Linked DNA regions of Ovis aries. The protein of the gene in region 3 interacts with the protein of the main gene of each other region in a pairwise test. Links are inferred from orthologs where the notes say so. Each region holds a gene or a part of one and is shown on either strand. Other genes may lie near its edges.

The links.
Region 1: the proteins of CEP70 (region 3) and NOL12 interact in binary tests that used the Homo sapiens proteins (3 or more experiments, as listed by UniProt). The two-hybrid records come from large-scale screens. The link is inferred for Ovis aries from reciprocal best matches to the Homo sapiens genes CEP70 and NOL12.
Region 2: the proteins of CEP70 (region 3) and SYTL5 interact in binary tests that used the Homo sapiens proteins (3 or more experiments, as listed by UniProt). The two-hybrid records come from large-scale screens. The link is inferred for Ovis aries from reciprocal best matches to the Homo sapiens genes CEP70 and SYTL5.
Region 4: the proteins of CEP70 (region 3) and TSGA10IP interact in binary tests that used the Homo sapiens proteins (3 or more experiments, as listed by UniProt). The two-hybrid records come from large-scale screens. The link is inferred for Ovis aries from reciprocal best matches to the Homo sapiens genes CEP70 and TSGA10IP.
Region 5: the proteins of CEP70 (region 3) and A-kinase anchor protein 17A interact in binary tests that used the Homo sapiens proteins (3 or more experiments, as listed by UniProt). The two-hybrid records come from large-scale screens. The link is inferred for Ovis aries from reciprocal best matches to the Homo sapiens genes CEP70 and AKAP17A.
Region 6: the proteins of CEP70 (region 3) and RBM10 interact in binary tests that used the Homo sapiens proteins (3 or more experiments, as listed by UniProt). The two-hybrid records come from large-scale screens. The link is inferred for Ovis aries from reciprocal best matches to the Homo sapiens genes CEP70 and RBM10.
Region 7: the proteins of CEP70 (region 3) and SUV39H2 interact in a two-hybrid assay, tested with the Homo sapiens proteins (2 studies listed by BioGRID and IntAct). The link is inferred for Ovis aries from reciprocal best matches to the Homo sapiens genes CEP70 and SUV39H2.

Annotation. Positions count from the first base shown.
Region 1 is NC_056056.1:215,348,992-215,353,287, forward strand, and holds the start of NOL12 (nucleolar protein 12), read left to right. Parts: upstream 1-1,496; 5' UTR 1,497-1,567; coding exon 1,568-1,650; intron 1,651-1,755; exon of another isoform or gene 1,756-2,851; coding exon of another isoform or gene 2,852-2,868; intron 2,869-2,975; coding exon 2,976-3,081; intron 3,082-3,336; coding exon 3,337-3,385; intron 3,386-3,899; coding exon 3,900-4,042; intron 4,043-4,296. UniProt on the Homo sapiens protein: Multifunctional RNA binding protein that plays a role in RNA metabolism and DNA maintenance. Participates in the resolution of DNA stress and the maintenance of genome integrity by localizing to sites of DNA insults.
Region 2 is NC_056080.1:37,494,805-37,498,304, reverse strand, and holds part of SYTL5 (synaptotagmin-like protein 5), read right to left. Parts: intron 2,406-3,500; coding exon 2,276-2,405; intron 153-2,275; coding exon 46-152; intron 1-45. UniProt on the Homo sapiens protein: May act as Rab effector protein and play a role in vesicle trafficking. Binds phospholipids.
Region 3 is NC_056054.1:251,191,455-251,194,954, reverse strand, and holds part of CEP70 (centrosomal protein of 70 kDa), read right to left. Parts: intron 688-3,500; coding exon 597-687; intron 478-596; coding exon 354-477; exon of another isoform or gene 322-353; intron 35-321; coding exon 1-34.
Region 4 is NC_056074.1:40,492,642-40,496,141, reverse strand, and holds part of TSGA10IP (testis-specific protein 10-interacting protein), read right to left. Parts: intron 1,465-3,500; coding exon 1,365-1,464; intron 1,166-1,364; coding exon 1,041-1,165; intron 562-1,040; coding exon of another isoform or gene 438-561; exon of another isoform or gene 411-437; intron 308-410; coding exon 175-307; 3' UTR 1-174.
Region 5 is NC_082741.1:868,717-872,773, reverse strand, and holds the start of A-kinase anchor protein 17A, read right to left. Parts: upstream 2,801-4,057; 5' UTR 1,938-2,800; coding exon 1,804-1,937; intron 1,176-1,803; coding exon 398-1,175; intron 1-397. UniProt on the Homo sapiens protein: Splice factor regulating alternative splice site selection for certain mRNA precursors. Mediates regulation of pre-mRNA splicing in a PKA-dependent manner.
Region 6 is NC_056080.1:57,639,396-57,642,895, forward strand, and holds part of RBM10 (RNA-binding protein 10), read right to left. Parts: intron 2,518-3,500; coding exon 2,431-2,517; intron 358-2,430; coding exon 297-357; intron 158-296; coding exon 1-157. UniProt on the Homo sapiens protein: Binds to ssRNA containing the consensus sequence 5'-AGGUAA-3'. May be involved in post-transcriptional processing, most probably in mRNA splicing. Binds to RNA homopolymers, with a preference for poly(G) and poly(U) and little for poly(A).
Region 7 is NC_056066.1:28,871,417-28,875,449, reverse strand, and holds the start of SUV39H2 (histone-lysine N-methyltransferase SUV39H2), read right to left. Parts: upstream 2,801-4,033; 5' UTR 2,588-2,800; coding exon 2,497-2,587; intron 677-2,496; coding exon 531-676; intron 1-530. UniProt on the Homo sapiens protein: Histone methyltransferase that specifically trimethylates 'Lys-9' of histone H3 using monomethylated H3 'Lys-9' as substrate.

The DNA.
Region 1 (4,296 bases), on a different chromosome or scaffold from region 3:
CTGGGACTACAACCAGGCGGAGGAAAGCTCCTGGGGCAGATTAGGAGAGAGATCACTGACTGTGGAGGAAAGAAACTGGGCTTGGAGTCAGATAGACCTATGTTCAACCCCCAGTTCCATCACTACGTGCCCTTGGACCAGTTACATAACCTCTCTGAACCTGTTTCCTCGCCTATCAAATTGCATTAATACTAGTATCCACCTAGTGTGACTGTTGCAAGGATTAGCTGAGATAATGAGGAGAACTGCATTGTGCCTAGCACAAAGTAGGGGCTCTGTAAACATTGGTTCCCTTCACCTCTTTTCAGACCCCGTGTGTCCCAAGGGCCTATGAAACTGGGTCCAGAGAAACAATAAGTAGAGTTCTGTCTTTAGATGACAGGGCTCTACCCTCAGCACCTGCTCTTCTTGTCTGTGTGACCTTGGGTAAGTGACCACACCTCACTGAGCCTCATTATAATGGGACTCATATCTCAAAAAAGATAATCATTTAGGGACCGTGGCGGTCCAGTGGTTAAGACTCCACACTTTCACTCTAGGGGACATGGATTCCATCTCGGGTTGGAGGGCTAAAGATCCCACATGCTATGTGGCACAGCCAGAAAAAAAAAAAAGATAATCGTGCAAAGAACTAAATGGCAGCTGCTGTTAATTCTTTGGCTTATCACCTTCATCAGCATTTCTATTAAGAAAATGTGCCATCTCTTGCTGCGCCTGAACATAAAAATATGCTCAATGAACATAAAAATAATTACAAGGAGAAAGTGATCCAAAAGGGAAGTGTGTTAGACTGTGAGCTAACTGCAGCAAAGGGCTCTCAAGCTTTTGGAGTCTGGGTGGGGTTGCCAGTCCCACATCTATTTCCCTGGAGTAAAGGGGACCTGGAACTCCCAGGGAAGAGTTTGGAACAATGGCACCTGCCCGAGGTGGCGTGCTTCACTCTGCGCTGGGAACTTTCGCAGATGTGGCCTCCCTGAGCCCCTCGTGGGCTGGCAGCTCCAACTGGGTGGGCTGCGAGGGCCGACTGCACAGAGATCTAGCTGTCTTCTTACTCGGTTCCAGTCTCTGCACCTGACCGGACGTTCTAAGAGGGCAGAAGCACTCCACACACAGGGCAGCAATCGGGGGTGACGCTGCACACCACTTGAGAACGAGCTGACTTTAAGTTACTTCCCCTCTCTGAGCCTCCACGGAAGGCCTGTCGCCGGGCATCTTGCTGGGGGTAAGGCGGGGCGCACCACTGCAGCCAAGGCAATGCTTCTACCCAGTAGGGTGCCAAGGATGGCAAGCGGCATGGCCACTAGCGGCAGTGCAGGGCCAGAGAGACAGTTGTTCATCACCCTGTTGTTCAGCTGCGGGGAGTGGGGAACGTAGGGGCGGGGGCAGAGATCCCGCCTGTTATACAAGAAGAGAGGGACGGGAGGAACGCAGGGCGGCCCCTTTAAAAGGCGGGGTCCGGCGAGCGGAACGGCCGAGCGTCGCTGCGGAGCACTTCCGGGAGGCTGGCCGTCCTACAACCGGAAGTGTCTTTGGTGCGCGGAATCCTCGCCGCCGAAGCGTTCCTGCTATGGGCCGCAACAAGAAGAAGAAGCGAGATGGCGACGACAGGCGGCAGCGGCTCATCCTGAGCTTCGACGAGGAGAAGCGGCGGTGAGTGCCAAGGCTGAGCGGATCCCGTTCGGGCCGCCGGGCAAGGCCGAGGCCGGGTCTGTCCGCATACGCTCACGCGGAAGGCCCTTCCGGTCCCGCCCTCTCGGCGTAGTGCGGAGCCCTGGCGGGTGGAAGCCGCGGCTCTGGGCCCCCCAGCCCGGAGGGATGGAATCGTCCGCCCCGCCCTCGCGTCGCTTTTCTGCTCCCCAGGCCGCCTTGTGATGCTGTGTGCTCGGCCCGAGAGCGGGCTTCACCCTCCCCAACCTGGCGGTCTCGCTTGCAGTTGGTGGTGTTCAGTCTCTCAGTCCTGTCGGACTCTGCGATCCCATGGACTCACAGTAGACTCAGCTGTTTTGGATGAGTAATTAGCGAATGAAACAAAGGCCTCCGGACCTTTGAGTCGGTCCTCTAAGCCTTAGCGTCTGGTCTAGCCCCACTCAGAGTGCCACCTGGACCTATGGTAGTGGGTCAGCGAAAAGCCTGGTGTTGGGCCCCATAACAGATAGGAATGGTGCGGCCGGATCTAAGGAAGATGAGAGGGCCTGAGATAAGATGGAGCGTGGGGGAAGGAAGTGCTGGGGCATCATCAGGAAACTCAGGGAGGCATCAACAGGACCTACAGACGAGTCGAGGGGCAGAGTCCTGGGGAAATGGGTGTTGATCCAATGGACAGTTTGTGGAGGTCTGGGTGAGGGTGGCCTTGAAAGCCCCACTTGAAGCGGCCTAATTCACTGAGGAATAGAGTTTGCCAGTGAAGAAGGGACCCTCACCTGCTCTAGGTTCAAAGGCTCTCAGCCTATGCCCACCACCTGCCCCTGTTGCTGGCAACTAAGAGCCCAGGAGAGTGTCGAGTGGGGAGAGAGGCAGCACCTCCCTCTCTTTCCCTAACCTTACACTCTCTGACCCCCGTGGGCAAGTCATCTTACCTTTCTCTGCCTCATTGTCTCCCATCTGTGAATTGGGAATGGGTATCTGATTGAGGACAGGAGGAAAAGGGGGTGACAGAGGATGAGATGGTTGGGTAACATCATCGACTCAATGGATCTGAATGTGAGCAGACTCCAGGAGATAGTGAAGGACAGGGCATGCTGCAGTCCATGGGGTCACAAAGAGTCAGACGTGAATGAGCAACTGAACAACAGTAACCACCCAGTGTGCATGTTGTTAAGATTACATGAGTTAATACGTTTACATTTTTGGAATGGTGCTTAGCACATGGTGAGTGCAGTATTAGCTTCCCTGCTGCGCCCCCCCCCCCCACCCCCGTCCCCTTCCTGGAGTGAGCCCTTCTTTCCTTGTGTCCTGATTGTCTCTCTTTGCTATAGGGAGTACCTGACAGGCTTCCACAAGAGGAAGGTGGAGCGGAAGAAGGCAGCCATTGAGGAGATCAAGCAGCGGCTGAAGGAGGAACAGAAGAAGCTCCGGGAAGAGGTGCAGAGGGAGAGGGCAGGAAAGTGTCTCTGACTCCCAGGGGCCCTGCAGCCTCGCTGAGGGGCTGAGGGGAGGGGGCAGGCAGGCCTGGGGTGCAGTTTATGCAGATAGAGATGCCGTGGTCCAGGTGTGGGGAAGGTTCAGGGTAAGATCCCTTGATCTTTCCCTCCAAGCCATGGTCTTACTCATCCTGGAGGGGAGCAGTGTCTGGGTTGAGAGGCCATGTTCATCATATTGCCTTCCCTTCGGTTTCAGCGCCACCAGGAATACTTGAAGATGCTGGCAGAGAGAGAGGAGGCTCTGGGTAAGTCCAGTCCTTGACCTGACCTGGAGAATAGCCAGTCGGTTGAGTTTATTTATCCCTTGGTGGGTGGACAGGAAGGGGTACAAGACTGCAGAGAAGCTGACATCCCTAGCTTCAGGGATCTTGGTGGTGCCCTAGGAGCCAGGGGTGTCCTCAGGTACCTCTAAATGTCAGTCAATCAGAGACCAGGAGGAGACCCAGACCTCTTGGCAAACGGATCCTGAGCAGAAAGTCCAGTTTCTGAGGCCTGGAGGGACTGAGGGTGGCAGCAGCTCCTGGGGTCCAGGTGGGGACCAGGTGGTCTGGGGTATCCCTGGAGCATGAAGGGAGGAGTTGGGTCATTTCCAGCACTTGTCTGCTGGCCAGACTCTGGAGCCAGTGACTTCCGGGTGCCACTCTATAGAGTAGAGGGGGCCGTTACATTCCAGGGATGGAGTCAGGGGTGGGGTGTGTGCCGGAGCCTGCTTGCTTGTGTCCTGGGGCTGAGGCCTGGTCCTGTACCCACCCTGCACAGAGGAGGCTGATGAGCTAGACCGGCTGGTGACAGCAAAGACGGAGTCGGTGCAGTACGACCACCCCAACCACACAGTCACCGTGACCACCATCAGCGACCTGGACCTCTCAGGGGCCCGGCTGCTCGGCCTGCCCACGCCTGAGGTGGGGCTCCCTCCTAGCCTGGGGGAAGAAGGGACACAGGGTCAGCCTGGCTTATCAAGCGAGTCAGTAAGCGCTGGTCCATGTCAAGGGGCTGGTCCATGTCAAGGATTCCAGTACAAGGGGCTCTTTCCTCTGGGTAACCCTCCAGGGCCTGGACCAAAGCCCTGAACCCTGGGGCTTCAGAGGTCAGCTCTACCACGAGCAGCTGTGGAAGCTTGGGCAGGTTTCTCTGCCTCGCCTGCTTCTTCCTTTGA
Region 2 (3,500 bases), on a different chromosome or scaffold from region 3:
GCCCTTTCTTCATGACCATTAGATACTCTTCCATATCCAACTTACCAAGTCTTTGTCCAAAGCCCCAGGGACAGATTTGCTCCTTATGCTTATAGTATCCTCTAAGTCTTCTGTAAATGACCCACTCAAATCTAACTCAGATCGACTCCGGTCTGCAGGAAGGAAAGGGGAAGAAGGGAATCATCTTGTTTTGTTAGAAGGGTTCACTTCTCATTGCAAATGTTTCATTGTTATTCCAATTCTTTCTAGGGATAAGGCATAGATAGTGTCATGAAAACAATAGTCAGAAAGTTCATACTGTTTATGCTATGCTACCATTTATTAACAGTATTTTGAAATTTTCTTGGACTGACTTACCAACACTGATCTGTACATTTCTCCTTTGAGCATAGGAAGGCAAATGTTCTACTACTATAACATGATCAATTTGTAAGCTATTTAAGAATTTTGCTGTGCTCAAAAACCTTGGCAAACTCTCAAAGAATGGGCCATTAAGCTTAGAAAAAAATATAACATTAAGTATTCCTTATTTATTAGAGAATCTATTGTCTATTCCATGGAGAGGAGCCTAGTGGGCTACAGCCCATGGGATCGCAGAGAGTCAGACATGACTGGGCATGCACACATACATTGTGCTTTTATATTTGACATAAAATGCAATGAAATGATACAAGTTCTTTTCACACAAAAATGGAGTAGCTATAGGGAAATTGAAAGGAACTTCTATTTCTTTGCACACCAGAACATTCTTTCATCAGCAGAATTTCTTGCTTTTAAACATATAAAGAAAAATGCAAAACTCAGTAATGCTGTGGATAGCTTATCAACAGTTTATTTCCATAAAAGATTTCTATGTCAAAACCCTGCTGAGAGAGAATACTTGCTTATAAATGAGAAAGACTGAAGAGAGCAACTGATTAAGACTGAAATGATAAATGAAATAGCACAGAACTGCTTAGCATAGCACCAGACACAGAGTATGTACTCAATCCACAGGAGCTACTGAGTACTATTAAGAGGAGAAATGAAGGGGCTTCTCAAATGGCTCAGCAGTAAAGAAGCCGCCTGCCAATGCAGGAGACACAGGAGACATGGGTTCAGTCCCTGGGTCGAGAAGATCCTCTGGAGGAGGAAATAGCAACCCACTCCAATATTCTTGCCTGGGAAATCCCATGGACAGACGAGCCTGGCCAGCTAGAGCTCATGAGGTTGCCAAGAGTCGGACACAACTGAACAACTAAGTATGAGCACGAGTAGTAGAAATACGCTCCATGAGGTTGGCTTCTAGGCTAGTTTAAAATTATTCATTGAACTAGAGAACCAATTTTCTAGTCCTAAACAAAATGCAGTAATAGCCATGCACATTTAGCCAACTCTTTGGGAGCAACTTGTCTTGGAGAGACACCTCCAACTCAGCACAGAGAATCCAGCCTTAGGCTTTATGTTAGGATTAGCATTAGATAACTGATTTCTTCCTTCTGGGGGTCTTGTCATGATTTCAAATCTACACAGGGGACATAAAGTTCCTAATTATAACATATGTCTCTGAAGAGTTTCCTTATTCAAAGGTAATAAAATTATACCATAAAATAATATTTGTTTCACAGGGGTTGTGATGCTAAAGTGAAACAATATTTTTGAAGGGATCATACAAATGAAAGGGGTTATTAATAATCCTTTAATGCTGCTTGCAAAGAAGGCCTTATTTAAACCATGGAATAATGATTCATCTGTCTAGATACAGGGCACTTCTGACCAATGTGTCAATGGAACTACCATTTCCTTGAATTCTGGGCAAGTGTCTTTATCTTTTGTATTAAATGAAACAATCATATTTCCTGAACTCCTCTACTGACTTCTCAGCTCTGTCACTCAGTCATGTCTGGCTCTTTAAGACCCCATGGACTGTAGCCCACCAGGTTCCTGTGTCCAGGGGATTTCCCAGGCAAGATTACTGGAGTGGATTGCCATTTCCTCCTCTAGGGATCGAACCCGTGTCTCCTGCCTTGGCAAGTAGATTCTTCACCATTGCACTATCTGGGAAGCCCCATGACTGCATACTCTTATCAAATTCAAAATTCACAGATTTTGCAAGGGGCTCAAGTTATCACATGGGTCCATGTTTCAACAGTTCTTACAGAGTGGGCAGAATACCATGGGTCAAAGAGTGGATGATTATTTTCAAAGGCATGAAACATACATTTAAGGCCCCACAAGGCAGTCACTTTCACCTGATTTAGTCATTTTCACAACAGAGCAGTCAGGTTGGAAATACCTGAGGAGAGGGAGGCCCGGGACACTGCTATGGATGGTGTGCTGGAAGGTTTTCGGCGATGAGTCTTTGTGAGGTCCTCAGAGGTGCTTTCAATGGCAGCCAAATCGGTGAAATTTTCAAAACCACGTTCCTTCTCACAAAGTAGAAATGGAAATATACATATAATATTGACTGTAATTGACTTCCAAATACTTCCATCTACCAGTATAACCATATCTATCTTACTCTTCAAGAGGAGCCAGTTGACACCTACAGAGCCCTCAACAGAAGTCCATAAGTCTAAAACCTACTATCAATACTCTCAAAAATACCTACCAAGAGTTTTGTTAACTAGCACAAAAGGTGTCTTAAATAATTATTTGTTCACAAAATTAGTGAATATTATAAGGTTATCAGTAAAGATGGTGTAAGAACCTCCACACTTACGTGAACTATGTATAAGAATACAGCAAGATTTACACCCGCAGAGTAGTACTCAGGGTTAGAACTCTTGCTTCCACGTTTGTCCTCATTCTCCACACCCTCTCTCCTCAACCATGCCTTACTTTCACCATGTCTCACTTAACATAAAAGCATGCCACCTTCCCCATCTCATAGGCTGGATGATCAGAATATGGTTGCTTACATCGTTATTTAAGGTTTTCATTATTTTATTAAATCTATTTATCTGGCTGTGTTGGGTCTTAATGGTGGCAACACAGGATCTTCAATATGGCACTCGGGCTCTCTAGTTGCGGTGTGTGGGCTTAGTTGCCACACTGCATGCAGAATGTTACTTCCCAGACCAGGGAGCAAACCCTCATTACCTGCAATGGAAGGTGTATTCGTAACCACTGGACCACCCAGGAAGCCCTCCTACATCATTATTGCAATAAAATTTCATGTAAGGCACTTATTAATGTTCATACAAGGATAAAGAATGGAGACTTCCCTGCTTATAGAAATAGGTTTGTTTTTTTTTTTAAATTGGGTATTTACTTGCTTATAGATGCTTGTTCATGTAATGGTATTCAGTCTAACATTTTATGTTTTCTCTTTTTAAAATTCTTTTATTGAAGTATAGTTGGCTTACAATGTTGTGAAAATCTCTGCTATACAGCAAAGTGACTCAGTTACACAATATATACATTCTTATTTACATTCTTTTCTATTATGGTTTATCACAGGATAGTGAACATAGTTACCTATGCTATATAGTAGGATCTTCTTGTTTATCCATTCTAAC
Region 3 (3,500 bases):
TGCTGCTCGGCTTTGCTGTTGCTGAAGTTCATTTCTAGTAACAGACACACAATTCCTTCTCTTAGTAATAGAAACAAATCATATCAACCAACATATTCATCTAACAACATAACAACTTTCTAAAATTTTTTTGCATTCTTAAAATTTCTATAACACAAACCAACAGAGGAAACATAGGGTATCATTATATATCGAAACTATTACCAAATGATTTACCTGCTAAAAATATTTTTTACTTAATATTTAGTCAATGGAAAATTAAATTCCAAGATTATTTTTAAGCGAGTTATTTTTTTAAATGCATATAATTTGTTCACATACAATTCAAAACAGATTTTTTTCCATTTTCTTACTTAAGCTGTTTATTAGTTTCTATGAGCTCCTGGATCATGTTCTGTTGACGTGATGTTTCCTCCATCATTGTTTTTAAATTCTCCCTCATGGTCTGTGATGACTGTTTGTCAAAAATGATGAGATCTACATTTTTTTGAAATGTAATACACATAGTAAAAATGAAGATAAGAAAAAAATTAATATTGAAAATTTTTAACAAAAAAAGCCTTTTATCTTAAGGAGCAAGAATATAATTTGATTACCTTTCATATCTGTTCTTTTGACTAGAGATAAAGGCTTTAAGCCATGCATCATCAGCAGCACATTCATGTTTTCCCATTCTGCTTCCTCCCGCTACAATTACAAGGAGACAGAGGGATCAACTTTAAGATATAGGGTGAAGAAATGCCCTCTTATAAATAATTTCCTTTATTTTCAGAACAACAGACTTTTTCTCCAAAATCTTTAATATGAATTTTTATACACACATAATGATTAAAATTAAAACAGATTTATTTCTAACAAAATTAGACTAAAAAGGATGCAAATAAGCACGGATACTTACATTATATCTGGAATTACATAATTCCAGAACACATATATAGGTCTTAATGAGTAAATTAAAAGCCTAATAATTTCAGTGAATTAAACAGACCTTAAGTTTCTTATTTAACTGAACTTTTTATTTAGGGTTTTTTATTTAACTGTCACCTTAACAATGACCAGGGTCACAACAAAATCAAACATATCTGACTGGAAGAGCCAATAACTTAGGTAGTTCCTTGTATAATGGACAAGGTCTAACTATGAAAAGGAGTCTGTCCATCTAGGTGACTGATTATAGTAAAAATATTCTGAAAGACACTCCTAAGTTTTGTATCCCTGATTTGAAATATGTATTTACCCTGAGAAGGGAACTCTCTCCAAATTAAAAAAAGAATAAAATCTAACTATAAATAAAAACAATGGGGAAGAAAAGAACATAAAATACAGTAAGAACAGAAACAGATATTTTTAAAATGACATTTAAATTCATGATATTAACATCAATAACAGGTTCTTAAGTACAATGATCAATTTTAAAATCAAGTGTGTGAGATACTTTGCATTCTTTTTAAAAGACCTTAAATATCTTATATAACGTAAGTATATTTGTAAAAAGGTGATTTGAGTAAATTTTCAATTTATTTAAATGCTTGAAAAGTATCTACTCTATTTTATTAGTGAATAGCAAGTAAATATTATAATAATGTTAATACTAATAATTTGGAGAATTTTTCCCCTCCCTCTCTCCTAGAAAATTTTTAAAAGTTCAAATAAAAGTATTACTCTTCATATCAATGGAGAAGGAAATGGCAACCCACTCCAGTGTTCTTGCCTAGAGAATTCCATGGACAGAGGAGCCTGGTAGGCTACTTTGCAGTCCATGGGGTTGCAAAGAGTCAGGCATGACTGAACAGCTATCACACTCACATTCAAATTCCCCTCAGACATTAAAAAATATACCAAAATAGATAAGCAACAAGGATATACTGTATAGCCAGAGAATTATAACTATTATCTTATAATAACTTTTAATGGAATAAAATCTGTAAAACTATTGATTCACTGTTACACACCTGAAGTTAATACTGTAAATCAACTATACTTCAATTTTAAAAAACCTATCACGACAAAAACCAAATTGTTCTGATGACTCTTTCGTAGGATTATGGCTCACAATACCAAACAAAATTTTCCTTTTGACTGCTGACTTTTTTCTGTTTCATCCTTTCTGTAACTCTCCCCACCCTGACCATTTTTTCCCCTTATTTTTGTCTTCTGGTCACAAAGATTAAAGAAACAGAACTAAAACTGTTGCTAGAATCTGTTTTGGGAGCCAAAAGCTCTGTGTGGGTATATAAGTGGAAACCTACTGCTGCTGCTAAGTTGCTTCAGTCATGTCCAACTCTGTGCGACCCCACAGATGGCAGCCCACTAGGCTCCTCTGTCCCTGAGATTCTCCAGGCAAGAACACTGGAGTGGATTGCCATTTCCTTCTCCAAACCTACTATGACTCATTAAAAAAAATGCTCTATAGAAAAAGTCACACATTTTGAATGACCAAATTATACAAATACTGTTCCCTGATAACTTTTTAAACATTTTTTTTTAATGTGGACCATTTTTAAGTCTTTATTGAATTTGTTTCAATATTGCTTCTGTTTATGCTTTGGTTTTTGGCCAAGAGGCACATAGGATCTTAGCTCTCTGATCACGGATTGAACACACACCCTACGCACTGGGAGGCAGTCTCAACCACTTGACTGCCATGAAGTCCTAATAACTCTTTTAAGAGAAAGAAGAACATCAGTTCAGTTGCTCAGTCGTGTCTGACTCTTTGTGACCCCATGGACTGCCACACCACAGGCATCCCTGTCCATCCCCAATTCCCAAAGTTTACCCAAACTCATGTCCTTTGAGTCGGTGATGCCATGCAACCATCTCATCCTCTGTTGTCTGCTTCTCCTCCTGCCCTCAATCATTCCCAGCATCAGGATCTTTTCCAGTGACTCAGTTCTTCACATCAGGTGGCCAAAGTTTTGGAGTTTCAGCTTCAGCATCAGTCCTTCCAATGAACACCCAAGACTGATCTTAGTCTTCTCCAATACCACAGTTCAAAAGCATCAATTCTTTGGCACTCAGCTTTCCTTATGGTCCAACTCTCACATCTATACATGACTACTGGAAAAACCAGTGTTGACTAGATGGGCCTTTGCTGCCAAAGTAAAGTCTCTGCTTTTGAATATGCTATCTAGGTTGGTCATAACTTTTCTTCCAAGGAGCAAGCCTCTTTTAATTTCATGGCTTCAGTCACCATCTGCAGTGATTTTGGAGGCCCCCCCAAAAGTCTGCCACTATTCCCCCATCTATTTCCCATGAAGTGATGGGATCAGATGCCATGATCTTAGTTTTCTAAATGTTGAGTTTTAAGCCAACTTTTTCACTCTCCTCTTTCACTTTCATCAAGAGACTCTTTAGCTCCTCTTCACTTTATGCCGTAACAGTGGTGTCACCTGCATATCTGAGGTTCTTGATATTTCTCCTGGCAATCTTGATTCCAGCTTACGCTTCATCCAGCCCAGTATTTCACATTATGTACTCTGCATATAAGTTAAATAAGCAGA
Region 4 (3,500 bases), on a different chromosome or scaffold from region 3:
ACTGTTAACTTGTAGTTAAAAGCTCAGTTCACACAATTCCTCCTGACACCCCCACTTGCCAGTTGCTCGATCTGCCAGCCCATCTGTTAGGGTGTGATTATGCGCCCTTTTAAAGGCCCGCCCCCTCCCCCACAGGACTGGGCGTTCCCAAAGGCGGAAGGCATTCTGTCCTGTTCACTCTTGAATTTCCAGGACCCAGCATTGGTAGGAGTTGCAGCTGTTGCTCTTGGGAGATGCCCCACTCGCTCCTCTGGGCAGAGACACAGCCGTGTGTGCTGGGCGGGGGCCGTCGCAACAGCCAGGGTTCCTGGGGGATGTGAGCACAAGCCAAGCGTGCTGCATACCCACCTGCCACGGCCTGCTCCCAACCCACAGCCACTTCCCACCACCGCCAGAAATCCCACACCGTGTTTTCCACAAAGCATTTAATTTTTATCTCAGGGACTCAACTCTTGGTCTGGATTTGGGGCGAAGTGCTGGTCAGCCTGGCTGCCAGTGTGTTCCATCTTTGGGGGGCTCTGAGAAGAGGGCTCCATTCTCGCCCCCACTGACCTGTGGCCCCTTAAAGATGAAGACACAAGTAGAGACCACTGGGCTCTGCAACTCCCCACCCCCATAACCAAGGAGACCTGGGCTGTAGGAGGGGCAAGGCCTTCATCACCAATGTCAGTGGTTTCAAATGTGGCTCTTACACTCTGAGACCCTGAGTGGGAGACTACCCCCGCCCCCGAAGCCTGATAACCTCTGCTCTGCACCAGGTTGTTCTGAAGTGTAAGCGTTCTGTGGGGAAATAACCTTGGCCCTGCCTTCCTCAGGTGACATGGAGGACAGGGCCCGGGGACGGCCCTGCTGACTGCGAAAGCTAGACTGAGTCCTCCCGGCCAGGGAGTGGACAGGGCAGGATGGAAGTCTAAATTCAGGGTGGACCCATGTGGCTGCGGGGGAGGCCCCTTAGCCTTTCCCCGGGGCAGGCGGCAGCTGAGACCCCGCGGGGCAGGGTACTGGTGGCCGTGCCCTATCTCCCCACAGCTGGGCCTCACCTGTGCTTCCTGGGGGCGCCCTCCGTGTCCCCTTTGCCCGCCTCGGCCAGCAGCTGCTCCTCATCCAGTCCCAGCGCCGACAGCACCTGGGAGAAGCGCCGGGTCACGTTGAGCCGGGCGTTGGCCTGAGGAGAAAGCAGAGGGACCCCCTCTCTCACCTGGGCTGCCCCGAGGACACCGTGAGACTCTGATTCCAGGGGGTCCCAGGGCTTTTCAAGGGTCCAAACTGAGGGGGCCCCTCCCGCCTCATCTCCCTACCCTCTCGGCCGGTGAGAAGCTCTGCTCTCCAGGGAGCCCACACGCTTGCCCACGTGCCAGCCTCACCTGCATGGCCTGCTGGAACAGGTAGGGCCGGGCCTGCACCCGGTGCTGGATGCCTTGCAGCTCTGCCTGGTACTCAACAAAGCGCTGTCGCTCCTGGCGCCTGAGGGGAGACGGGCCTCTGGGCAGCTGACCATCGACTCACGCCATCCCCACTCATGAGCCCTCACTAAGGACTTCCTGTTTGTCCTCCAGCCCTTAGCTTTACAAAGTCATTTCATTTCTGTCTTCAGCTGGGATTCCCCCTGACGTGAATGGAGTGAGAATCATCTGCCGCCATTTTGTCCATGACATGCCTGAGGCTCAGGAGGGCCGAGGGACTTGAGGTTGCACAGTCGGGAAGTGAGGGACTGGGCACGGAGCCTGGGTCTGCAGACAACGCCAGGCTCGCCTATCCTCCCAGCCATCCCCGAGGAAGAGGGGCCAGCACTGGCTTCTGAGCGGCTGGACGTCTGCGTGCACAGCCCTGCCTTCCCCGTGCCCACCCCTGCACCCTCTCTGCCTGTGAGAAGCTGTGACTGTTGGCTGTGGCTTTGGGCAAGATCACGCTCTGGACCCTGGGTTCAGTTTTCTTCTCTGTACTATAGCCAGTATGGGACAAGCTTGCCAGCATTCTCTGTGCTGCTTGTAAGCCAATAGTTTAGAAAATGGGACAGTGGAACTAAAGGAATGTATTGCAAATGAAGAATTGATGCTTTTGAACTGTGGTGCTAGGGAAGACTCTTGAGAGTCCCTTGGACAGCAAAGAGATCAAACCAGTCAATCCGAAAGGAAGTGAACCCTGAATATTCACTGGAAGGACTGATGCTGAAGCTGAAGCTCCAATACTTTGGCCACCTGATGCGAACTGGAAAAGACTCTGATGTTGGGGAAGATTGAGGGCAGGAGGGGGAGGGAACAACAGAGGATGAGATGATTGGATGGCATCACCCTCTCAATGGATATGAGTTTGAGCAAACTCTGGAAGATAGTGAAGGACAAACGAGCCTGGCGTGCTGCAGTCCATGAGGTTGCAAAGAGTCGGACACAACTTAGTGACTGAAAACAACAACAAACTGCAAGGGAAAGAACACATCCCAGAAAGATCCAGATTCCACCGGAGAAGCACGATCCCACTTACAAAAACCCACTTGGTGCACTTGTCAGAAATCTGTCGCTCTACAAGCTGCAAGTCCTGGCCGTGAGAAGGGTCCTCTGACCACATCACACGTGGGACCAGGCATCCTTCTGCCAAGCACACGAGAGAGGCTGAGGGTTGTGGCGGCAGTACTCAGAGACAGGACAGGAGGGGAGAGGCACACAAGACTCTGAGCCTCTGGTGGGAACCTTCAGTAAATGTGCAGGGCCCCATGGGAAAGCACACTGGCTTGCTGGGCCAGGACCCTTGGCTATGCGCCAGGTAAAGAAACTTCCTCCATTCAAGAAAAAGATGGACTTGAAAACCATGACCGGGAACAGAAGTCACTGTGAAGAAGAGTCTTCATCATTTAAGGGGGGATTTTACAGCAGTTTCAAGGAGCAGGGGTGGGGGAAGGCTGAGCTATATCTCTGTCTTGCCCATGATGTCACGTGCGTTTTTCCTGTGCGGTTCTTGGGGCTATTTCTGTTAGAATTGAGAGGAAGCCCATGTCTGGGAGCTCTAAGTGAGAAAGGAAGTCGTGTCAGTGGGTTTTCGCCCTGTCTATTATCTCAGAATAAAAGGAAGGTTCGGAGCCTCCCCACCACAGGGCAGTGCCTTTTGTGCCCTCCCTCCTAGGAAGAGCAGAATCTTGCATGCAGCCCAGAGCTAAGGCCAAGACACCGAGACACCCCCCAGGGGAAATATCTGCTCCCAAGTAGAAAATGAAGGGATTGTGTTTGGAAGACTCCTCTCACTGACACGTGCCACTGGAGTCGGAGCCTTCTGCTTCCTACCTTGTGAGAAAAAAAAAAAAGAAGTGAACTTGAAGTCCAGCAGGGAGAAGGTATCTCTTGGTTCACTGATCAAGGATCCCTCATTGGCAAAGTTGGGGGTGATATGGCTGAGCCTCAAAGAGTAGGTGATCGGAGCCCCACTGGATCCTCAGTGGCCCCATCTCAGGGCAGGAACCCCCTGGTCTCTCAGCAGTACCCCACTCCCCTTGACCTAGTGCTTCTCCC
Region 5 (4,057 bases), on a different chromosome or scaffold from region 3:
CCCCACCCCTTCCAGGACGGCCCCTTCTGCCGGAAACACCAGGGCCTCCGGAGGCCAGCCCTGCATGCAAGAGCTTGACTCCTTCCCCCTCCTGCGGTGGGCGCCCCCCGCCCTCCGCAGCCAGCTGCCTTCACCACCCAGCGCCCGGGCACAGCTCGCGCCCCGAGGGCCCCGGCTCCTCCGCCAGCCTGACGTGGGGAGCCAGCACGAGCCAGAGTCCGCGGCGATGATGGACAGCGCCCTCATTTCAAGGGCGGCTGCGAGCGTGTTCCACTTCTCCCCACGTTTCCTGAGACACAGAGTGCGCTCACCGCGTGGGGGGCCCAGGCAGCCCTCCCCATGTCGGAGGCCCTTCGGGGCGCAGCCCGCCGCCCCGCCTCCCCCCCACCCCCCGCACCTTGATGTTGCAGGCCACAGCCTTGCCGTCCTCGCCCTTGAACATGAGCTTCATGCCGCGCAGCGCGCTCATGGCCTGGATGAAGCCGGCGTACTCGCGGTACTGCACGTAGGCCTCGAAGTTGAGGTGGCCGCCGAAGCTGAAGGTGTGGAAGTTGCGGCCCGTCATCTCCTCGCGGTAGGGGTCCAGCATGGGGATGTCCACGTTGCGGATCTCGCCGAAGCGCTCGAACACGCGCACCAGCACCTCCTCGCTCGGCTTCTCCGAGCCCGACTCCTTCAGCGAGAACCACTTGCAGGGCAGCCCCTCCAGGTGGATGGTGTCCGGCCGCTCGCCCGGCAGCGTCTCGTTCATGTCCTTGGCGTCGCGGAAGAAGGAGTCCCAGTCGTGGCGCGTGGGGAAGTCGACCTTGAACTCCGCGGCGCGCACCTTGAGGATGTCGGAGAAGCCGCTCAGCTTGATGGTCTTGCCGTCCAGGCAGGCCAGGAAGGACTTGACGAGGCTCTTGTTCTCCACCTCGCCCTCGAAGCGGATGAAGTCCATGGTGCTCTTGGAGATGCGCAGCGTGGAGAACTGGTGGTGCTGCACCATGCCCTTGAGCCGCTCCATCACCTCCCAGTTGGAGATGGACTTGCCCGGCTGCTTCAGCTGCGGCAGCGCCACGCTGATGGTCATCTTCGTGATGGGCTTCAGGTACAGGCCGTGCAGCGGGCACAGCTCCACCGCCTCAGACGTGTCGTGCACGATGGTGGCCGCAGCCATAGCCGGGACCTTGGGCCTGAAACACAAGACGCGCACGCCGCGCGTTCACGGCCGGCCCGCTGCCCCGCCCCCAGGCTGGCCAGCACGCGGCCCGGGGCACGGAGGCCCGTCTGCCCTCCGCGTGCCCGACACACTAGTCGCTACGTCAGGGAAGGCCCCTCGGCCCCTCAGGGTTAGTCGCTCAGTCGTGTCAGACTCTCTGTGACCCCGCGGACGGTAGCCGACCAGGCTCCCCTGCTCCTGAAATTCTCCAGGCAAGAATACTGGAGTGGGTTGCCCTTCCCTTCTCCAGGAGGGGGGGTCTTTCCCACCCAGGGATCAAACCTGGGTGTCCTGCATTGCAGGCAGATGCTTTACTGTCTGAACCACCAGGGAAACCCCAGCCCCTGACATGTGGGCCCTTTTAATCAGATTACACAAATGCAGGGGAAAAAAATTTGGGTTTTCAAAACTTTTAGGAACACTTGCTTGCCCCAAGCCTCCATGGGCACTGAGCTGCCCCCAATACTCAGAGGCATCTCCACCAGGGCTGGGCTGGCAGGAGCCCAGATGGGCAGGGTCCCTGCCCTCGGGATGTGGGGGACAGGCCACCTCCATGGAGGCTGCAGACGTCTCACTGGGGAAGGGACGACCCACACAAGCACCTGGGAAGGTCTGTGCCGGAGGAAGCCCGCGGAAACAGGAAGGAACTTTCAGGCTGAGAGAATGGTTGAAGACCGTTGACTTCAGTATCTCTACCGCAGGCAGAAGCATTTTCTCTGTGTCCAGATAAAACCATCAAAGCCGCGGGGCCTCTGGGAAGCCGCGGACGGGGAGCTGACTGTGCTCTCCTCCCCCTCAACCAGCTTCTCCCTACCGGTCAGACAGGTGCCTACTTCCGCAAAGCAGGGCCAGACCTGACCCACGGACAGCAAACAGTAATGGAGGGGGCCTTGGGCTGTGTGCCCGCGCACCAGATGGCTCTGAGAGCTTCTGACCAGGCCTGGGTTCAATCCCTGGGGCGGGAAGATCCCCTGGAGGAGGGCATGGCAACCCACTCCAGTATTCTTGCCTGGAGAAAGCCACGGACAGAGGAGCCTGGTGGGCTATAGTCCACAGGGTCACAGAGAGCCACGACTGAACAGCTCAGCACACACACACACCCAGACCCAGGAGAAGCTGCAGGGACGGGGGTGGAGGGGTCCCAGCTGGAGGGAAGAGCCACCTGGCCCAGGTCTGGGGCACCAGGGAGGGGGCTCAGCCTGGGCTGAGAGTGGCGACAGCCCCCCTCCACCCGCAGAAAACCTCCAGACCTCAGAGAGAACTTGAGTCAGAGACTCCGGAAGCCCACTGCCTACTAGGAACCCTGGGGATTCCCATATTCCCTGGTCGCCCAGCTGCCCCTGCACCCTGGGGATGACCCCCAGCCCCTTCGCTGCACCCCTGTCAACACACCCCTGGCAGCCCCTCACGATCCCCATCGCCTCCACCCCTCCAAATGCTCACCCCACTGGCCCAACTCCCGCCTTCTCTCTCCCCAGCCGCCTCTGTGGCCCCCGGTTACCCCCTCCAACCTCCAGTAACCCCTAACTTCACTCCCCGTCCCAGTACAGCCTGCTTACCTCTTACCCTGGTGGACCCCGATTCGCCTGCAGGGACCCTGTCCACCCCCCGCCCCAACCCCGCAGCTCCCTGGAGACCTCCCCTCCTCTGCTCAATCGCCGTTGTCCCCTCTCCCAAATCCTCTCCCAGAAGACGCCCCCCACTCTCCGCACCCCGGGGAGACCCCCGCAGCCCCCAGCTGTCCGTCACCCCAAGCCCCTCAAAGGCTTTCGACCCCCAAAGCCCACACCCCCAAGTCCCCCAGACCCCTGCTCCCAAGTCTGCAGGTCCAGGACACCCGTGCCCCGGCCGTCCCGGGAGACCCCCGCATCCCCCAGCCCCCGGTCATCCCCAAGCCCCTCAAAGGCTCTCGACCCCCGAAGCCCCTGCCCCCAAGTCAGCAGTCCCACGAGACCCCGTGCCCCGGTCGCCCCGAGAGACCGCTGCAGACCCCAGCCCGCGGCACTCCGTCACCCTCAGGCCCTCAAAGGCTTTCGACCCCCAAAGCCGCGCCCCCAAGTCCCCAGGCCCCCCGCTCCCAAGTCCGCAGGCCCAAGAGACCCCCGCAGCCCCCGGCCGCCGGTTCTCCGTCACCCCCAGACCCCCCGCCCCCAGGCCCCTCGAAGGCTCTCGACCCCCGAAGCCCGCAGGCCCAGGAGAGCCGCGCCCCGGCCGCCCGCCCCGCGAGGCCGCCCTCCCCGGCCCCCCGACGCCCCGGGGTCCCCGGCGCCCGGCGGGCGGGGCCCCGTCCACGTACCAGGCCGCCGCCGCCCTGGCCCCAGCGCTCCCGCGGGCCCCCGACGACGCCGGCAGGCCCGGCCTCCCCGCCCGGCGCCGCCACCGTCCGCCGGAGGCGCCCCCGACGCGACCCGCTGCCGCCGCCTCGGCCGCCGCCGCCGCCCGCCCCTGTGACGCATTTCCGCTTCCGCCGCTCGGGCCCGCGGAAGCAGGCCGCGCGGCGGGCCCGGGTTTCTCCTCCTGGCCATGGCCCCGCCCCCCAAGAGGCGGGACTTCCGGGGCGGCGGTGGGTGGGGCCGGCCGGCCCGGGCTTCGCGGTGCGCGTGCGCGAGCCCGCCGCGCCCTTCCCCCACCCCGCCCCGCCCCGCCCCGCCCCCAACCCTGCCACCTGTTTTCAGGTCCAGGCAGAGGCCTCACCTTGGGGCCCCAGGGTGAAGACACCGGACTCGGGACTCAGGCCGGCTGTGTGGGGCACACTGCTGTTACAGTCATGCGTCGCACATGAGATATCGTTATGAACTATGACAAGTGTATATTTATTAATTACTGATTTTATTCCGTATGAGTATGGATTGCTTG
Region 6 (3,500 bases), on a different chromosome or scaffold from region 3:
GGCTCCGAGCCCTGTGACAGGGCCTGGGAGGCCAGCACTCCCTGGGCCTGGTAGGGCTGTGGCAGGGGCAGCAGGCCCTGGCTTAGCTCCCGACCCCCCAGCGGCAGCGTCTGCTGATCCAACCTCGCGCCCAGGGGCAGCTTCTGCTCCGCCTCTGCTAGGGGCATCAGGAGAGAGACTGGTGACAAACTGGAAGGCGCTCCCAGGCAGGTCACCCTCCTTCCAGAGCTGTGACCTTCACCCTTCGCCCCTCTCCCCACAATGTCCCAAGGAAGAGGGAGGTAGGAAGGCCGTACCTGACTTGGGCACCCCACATTTGAAGCACTTCTCACGGCGTTTGAAGTTCTGGACGCCACACTGTGAGGCACAGGCCAGGCTGTCAGAGGCAGCAGGGGGTGGGGGGTGGGGGCTTTCCATTGCACCCTCCAAATGTGGATCCAGAAATCTTCCAGGGATCCCACCATGCCCCAGGAAGGTCCCAGGGTCAGGGGAGGGGGGAGCAAAGGGCTTTGGGGAATGGCTGTCATTCTCAGACACACGACTCTTTACATGGTTTCAAATTTCTCCTCAGCGCCCACCCCTCAACTCAGGAGTCCGTAACCCACCCCCTACCTCTGTTACCAACTGCTGTCTCCTCCAAGGGACCAGCTCAGAGACGTTTCCGCCTCCAAAGTCCTTTTAGTAGGTTCCTCTTCCCAGAACGTACTTTCCTTCTCAGAAACCTTCATCACTTTTCTATCCTTAAAAAGTCAGTAGCCCCTCTCCTGCCAGGCCTCACCCCTTCATCTCGAGGTTGGATCTTGCCACTCTTGAGAAATAAATCTGCCTTGGGCATTGCAGCCTCTGGAGACCCCCAGTTTTCACCACATTTCGGTCTCTGATCCGCGGTCAAGTCCTGAGCACTGTTCCCATGCCAGGCTCTCCGCAGCATGCGGCCTAACAGTAGGGAGCGGATGTAGCACAGAGGTGCAGCAGGTCAGTCTGGAAATGGTCACCACCAGGGACTCCAGGAGAGGAGTGGGCCTTGAGGCCCAGCTTACTCAGCTGGGTATAGTCCGCATGGCTGTTTCACCTGGGAGGCCCAGAGGTTTGGTTTTGCTGGGAAGCACTTGCTAGCAGAGGACACAAGACATTTTGTGTAGCTGGTGTAGGAGGGTGGAGAGAAAGGCAAAAGCCAAGGCTAGAGAAGGTGACATTAAATCCCAGAGGAGCGTCACACTCACGTTCAGATATGTGCAGGTTTTTGGCAGAGTTGGAGGGACATGGTCAGAAGTGGGTGTGAGGAATGCCAAAGGTGAGGGAGTGGGAGACAGGCAAGAGGCCAGAAAACCAGAGAGGGGCCCATGGTGACTGTCTGGAGGAGGGGTGAGGACCAGCCTGCACAGTGAGAATGGCAATGGAAGGTGTTTGTGTGATGGACGTGACAAGACCAGAGAGCAATAGGATGTGGTAGATAAAGGAGAGGAAAGAACAGACTGCCCTAGTTTTAAGGAGCATCTGAAAATACAGGAGAGATGGAGTGAGTCCTCCTGTCACTCTCTCCAGAGAGGCTGGACATCTGCCTTCTGGTATTACTCTTTTCATTTTCAAACAAAGAGGCCCCCCTCCCCCACTTTACTGGGCAGAGTTCTTCTTGGGGAGAGGCTTGGGGGCCCCTGCAAGCTCTCAGGACTTAGGTCTCAGGGCTGTCAGCCGGCTGCAGAAGGTGAGGTTGGCCTAAGGGGGGACCCGAACCCACGGTGGCACCCATAGCCTATGATTAGGAATAAGACGCAGCTCGAGGTTCCATCTCTCTGAGCCTCAGCCTCCTCCCAGGGAACATGAGCGCAAAGACCTACAGCTTGTACAGTCAGTCTCTGTGGACCTGGCTCTGTCAGGGGTTGGGTCATCTGACACAAGCTCTCAGAACACCCTACACATTATTTAGGACAGCAGCTGACAGGTGCTGTTCCAAGTGCTACCCTCTCATCACTGCATTTCAATCCTTCTGACCACCTCTGGGTATTTAGTATTTGTGTTTTCGAGATGGGGAGAGTGAGGCAAAGAGAGGTTAATACTCTGACCTCAAGGGGGATTTTGAGGGAGTCTAATTTCAGCCAGTCTGGCCCTGATGCCCACTTTTCATACACCATGTTATGCTTCACCGTCACTAGTCACTCACATAAACGTCTATGTGACATCTATTGGGGCCTCAGGCAATATCGTGCTGCATGAGGGCAGAGCCTGGCACTGAGTGAAAGCTCAGTATGAATTGGCAGCTGGCTGGGTGGACGAGGAGGGGAGTCGTGGGGGAGGCAATGAGCGGTGCTGCCGGAGCTGGGCCAGTTCCTCCATGCCCGCACCACTCAGAGGCCCCAGGGAGACAGACATGTTGCCACCCCTGCCGCGGCTGTCTCAATCCATGGCACTTGCTGCCCACTGCCCCTGTACCTTATTACACAGCCAGTCCTCATTGATCTTGGGCTTGGGGTCGCTGTAGTGCATGGATACCTTCTGGCCCAGGATGTTGAGGGAGTGCTGCGGGGAAAAGCAGAGCACAGTGAGGCCTGGGCAGCAGTGCCCCACGCACCGTTTCAGCACAGGAGAAGAGAGTGAGCGAGCCCTTCAGCTGGATGGATGAGGGACAGGGAACGGAGGGAGGTCGGAGAACTGACAAGGGAAGAAGGAAGGGAAGGAGGGAGGGAAAGAGCCACAGCCCTCGGGCGCAGCTGTTTGCTGCCTTTCCGGGCACGCACACGTGAACACACTCCACCAGGCATACAGTGCTCGGCTGCCCGAAGCTTGCCGGACAGTGCGGCAAACCCCCACTCAGCCCTAACACTGCCAGGCCACACCCAGGGCCAGCACTACACAGGCTACACTTGGGATGAAGGGGACAGGGAGGGGAGGGAGAGGAGGGGAGAGAAAGAGAGAGAGAGCGCACGCGCGCTAGTGCTGGAGAAGGGGAGAAAGAAAGAGCCATATTTAAAAGATGGACGGTCCTGCAGTGAAGCTGTCTTCCCGTGGCCAGCTGGGTCCTTGGGCCCACTAGCCTGTGGACCAGCAGAGATGGCCCCAGGGCCGCCATATTGCCCCATTCCCCTTCCCCCGGCCCGAGGCACAGTGCCCCATAGCAGTCAGCTGGGCTCTGGGTGGGTGAGCAGAAGCTTTGGGTCTCTGAAGGTCCCAAAGCTGTTGGGTTAGGAGCCCATGCCAGGCTGGGGGAGTGAGCTCCCCTCCCTTCCGGACAGCAAGACTCCTTGCTGGGAGGGCAGGCCTGTCCCCAGTGGAGACTCCTGGGCAGGCCAGGTGCAGTGGGAGGGGTGGGGCACCAAAGTGAGTCCTGGTGAATGAAACTATGACCCCTGACTGGTACTTTAGGTCAATAGAATCCTGCTGGCCTGTCCTATGGAAATCACAGGGCCAAGCTCACAGGGAGAGAGCTGGCAAAACAGGACTTGCTAATTAGTAATGCCAACAACTAAGTTTCCCCAGCGGCTGGACTTGCAGTGGTGCCTGAG
Region 7 (4,033 bases), on a different chromosome or scaffold from region 3:
ACTTTTCTGGAGTCACAAGGTACTAGACAAAGGCTAGAAATGACTGAACTCCAGGCTGTTCTACTGCACAACAAAACCTCATTGCTATCTGGAGTTTGACAGGACGGCAGGAAATACAAATGGTGATGCTTCTTGAGATTTGGTAACATTAAAATTGGCTTGAATTTCTAGGTTCATCTCAGGTGACTGATAGTGGGGAAATATGATTCAGGAACAAAACGAATGACGGGAGAAGCCAATCTGAGCTAAAACATTTGCTCTGGTAATCCACATGGAGATAATCAAGAGTTGGATGTAGAATGACATAGGCACCTTGAAATATTTGAATGTAAGAACATTTTATGCTTCAAAATCCTTTCAATGTTAGTTGGCAAACAGATGACAGGACATATAAATTTATCATGGCTAAGAATTGTAACCATTAAGAAGAGCTTTGCTTACTTTTAGGGTTATTTTTATGTTACAGAAACATGAAATACTAAAGGGAGGTCTGATTAGGTCTTTTTTAAGGGTCTAGATATTTGCCTTACCTTTACTACCTTGTAGTCACACAAGTATTCCACCTCATAATTGTTTAGATTCCTTTTGGTGATTCCAATCGATTTACATGTGAGCTTTTCTTTTCTACATAATTCCTGAAGAGTATCAAGTGAAACTAGGCAAGGCACACACCAAGCTACAATAAGAAAATAGAATTCTTTACTAATGAAATAGCTACTCCATTAAAATAAAATAAAACAAAAAATCTTGACTTCTATATCCCCACCCTTCAACTGGCAATTTTATAAGACTAAAAATTCAAGAAACCATTTACATGTCTAAGAAAATTTAACCACTGAAGAACTATTTTGGTAAATATTTCTTCCTGGATTTTCTCACGCGTCTCTGCCCTACTATATCAATTTCCACTAGGCCACCTGAACAAAATGTTTCATGTCTATAAGCTTTCATAAGATTACACACAGATAGGCTGAGATAGTATTTTTAACTTTTTCATTGTATTCTATATAGAATTGCTGTTTTAGTCAAATGTAGACATCAAGCACAAAATTATTAAAGATACATCTTAAATATATTTTAAAATAATCTTACATTGTTAAAAAGTAATTTTCCCTTTCTTTTTGTCCAGCAATAAGAACTGTAATCTAATTCTATAGTTATATACTGGTGACATCATATGATCCACTTGTCCTATTTGGGAAGGTTGTATGAAATTTTAACTTCAATTCTGCTCATGCAGCAATGTAGTTTAGCAAGGTAAATTAACCCAAGAGCTACAATAAAATAATGAAGAGTATACTGAGTTTTGTAATACTCACTTCCTGTATTGTTTTCAAAGCCAAGGATGACAATACAGAGTATTCAATTTACACCAAGCCTGAAGAAAATTAGATACACTCATCATCAACCTTCTAGAAGCCAGTAACAGTGCTGTGGAAGAGTCTACCCTCAAATTCCTGTTAAGAGTATGCCACCACACTGCATTAAAAATAGGTTAACACAGGGTGGTGATAACAGCAGCTAAGACACCAAGCTCCCAATACAGGGGCTCAGATTCAGTCCTGGTCAGGGAACTAGATCCCATATGCAGCATCTAAGATAAAAGATATGGTGTACCTCCAACTAAGACCTGGCACAGCCAAATTAAGTAAATAAATATTTTTTTAAAATAGGTTAACACAAACTGACATTTAGAAACATAGAATAAACTTGGCTTTCCGGCTAGTGCCACGAGAAGCACCAGAGAGGATCAAGGGTCCTCTGTTCCAGGCCCCGCGAGGCCCCCTAGCTACATGACTGTAGGGAGGTTTCCATCTTTCTGGGTTTCAGCTTCACTGAAAAAAATGTGAGGGCTGGAGTAAACTGGGAGTAAACCAAACAAAACCCGTCAGTAAACGCACGCTTTACTTGGCAGCTCTCCAAGGTAGTTGTGATAACCTTTTGGGTTTGGAGGTAATTTTCCAGAAAGAGAGAAGAGCTGTTCCTAGTATACTCGTTCCTCGCCCTCCCAAACTCACCCAGGGGTCTCATGGTCAGAAAACCTGAAATATGATTTCCAGCCGCTCCACCCCCCAAAAAAGAACTCAGTTCTAGATCAAGAAAGTGAAATGTATTTTCCCCTAAAAATTTTGAGGGGTGTTTTGGGGGTAGGGGAGTAGTGGAAATACAAACCACCCCTTATATCCATCCCTTCCATTTAAAAAGCCTCAGGATGTTTTGTGTAGAGTTAACCTCGTTATGCTCATCACCTGGACTTTCTACCGAAGGTGTATCTGTCTGCTGTTCCTACCAATTTCACTTAGTGCAAGTAACAGAAGAATTCAAGACGCAACCCTCCACGGAAATGCTAGTTTTGAGAGTAAAACTTGGAACACACGACACCGCAACCCCCCTGGTAACCAATCTGACTATCTCTAATAAAGTAGAAAGAGAATTCATTGGTAAGAATAAACATTTCATGACCACCACAAAAACTTGACACTAGTTCACACTAACCCCTAGCGGAGGAAAAGTTGGGCGATAATGAGTCCATAATCCATGCGGAGAGGCGCAGTGCTGGAAAACACCTTTCCGTTTCAGAAGGCATTGAAAGTTCCAGTCTTGGAGCGCACGCACAAACACACGTTCAGCACCGAATTCTTTGGCGACCACAGAAACAGAACGCAAGTTCCCTCCCGGCGGGGATGACGATTCCCGTGAGCCAGGGGCTAACGCCTCCAGTACCCACTTAGTGGGACTTCCTCCAAAGGCGAACCGGTCCTCCCCGTGCGTCCCAATCGGGGTACATCCTCACTCATCTATTTTCTTAGCCTTCACACCTCTCTTAGCCCCGACCTCTCTCTGCTCCTCCGACACTGAGGTCACACCCACACCACCGGGATCCTCCCGCTCCCAGTTCCAAAGCTAGCCCGACTGCAAACGTCCCGCTCAAACCATCACAAAGGAGTCGCGCCCCCCTCGTGTCCACGGACCTCGAGGCGCGCAAGGATCCGCCGTCGCCACCCGGGTGCCCCCAAACAGCGGTCGGGAGGGGTGGGGTTTCTGGGCCGGCCGGCGGCGGGGACTGGGCCGCCGGGTCCGTGGGACGGCAGCGGAGGGCGCGGGCCGAGCCTCGCAAGGGCCGGGCGCGGGAAGCGACTGCGGGCAGCGGGCGGGCCGAGCCGCGAGGAGGGTCAGGGGCCGGGGGCAGGGAGGAGCCCGCGGCGCGCGTCTCGGGGCCGCAGTGTCAGTCGCGCGGAAGGCGATGTCTCGCCGCGTCGCTCTGCGGCCGGCCCGCGCGTTCCGGCCCGGCTTCCCGGGCTTCGGGAGTTTGCCCGGCGGACAGGGGACAGTGCGGGGCGCCGCTCTCCAGCCCTCACCTCCTGGCGCCTCGGCCCCGGCCGCCGCCATCTTGAGGAGCTTTCATTCAAACTGGCGCGGTCTGACGGGATAGCTCCGCTGGCCCAACGCCCCGCCTCCGCACAGCCCGCGCGGAACGCGGGAGCCCGGGCGGGGGCCTAGAACCCGCGAGGCGTCCTGACGTCAGCGGCGGCCGTCCCAGCCGCGGCGGCGAATGCGCCTGCGCCTGCGCCCCAAGTCTTTCGCGGGGACCGCGCGGACGGGGGCGGGGCAAGCGGTCGGAATCTGGGAGCGCTCGCTTAGGTGAGCGGCCACCAGCACTGGCTTGGCTGGCTGAGCGCTTAGTTCAGGGAGCGGGCATCAGTCAGGCTTTCCTACAGTAATTATGTTTTCTGCCTGGGTGCTGGGTGTGCAATGTGCAGAATTCCAAGCGCAGTGTATGTTCCCACCCCCCCTCCGTCATAATTGTTCCTCAGCCACCTGAGCCCGACAAACCCTTGTTTCCTTCTAGACTCTGCCTCTAGATCACACGTTCCCAAAATTGGCTGTACATTGGGACCCCTTGGAGGTTTTGTTTTTGTTTCACTCTCGGAGATTCAATAGGAATGGGGTGTAACGGAAACGTTGGAATTTTTAAAGCTCCCCAGGTGATTCTCAGTGTGCAATTTGAAACCACTGGTCTAGATCAGTGCTT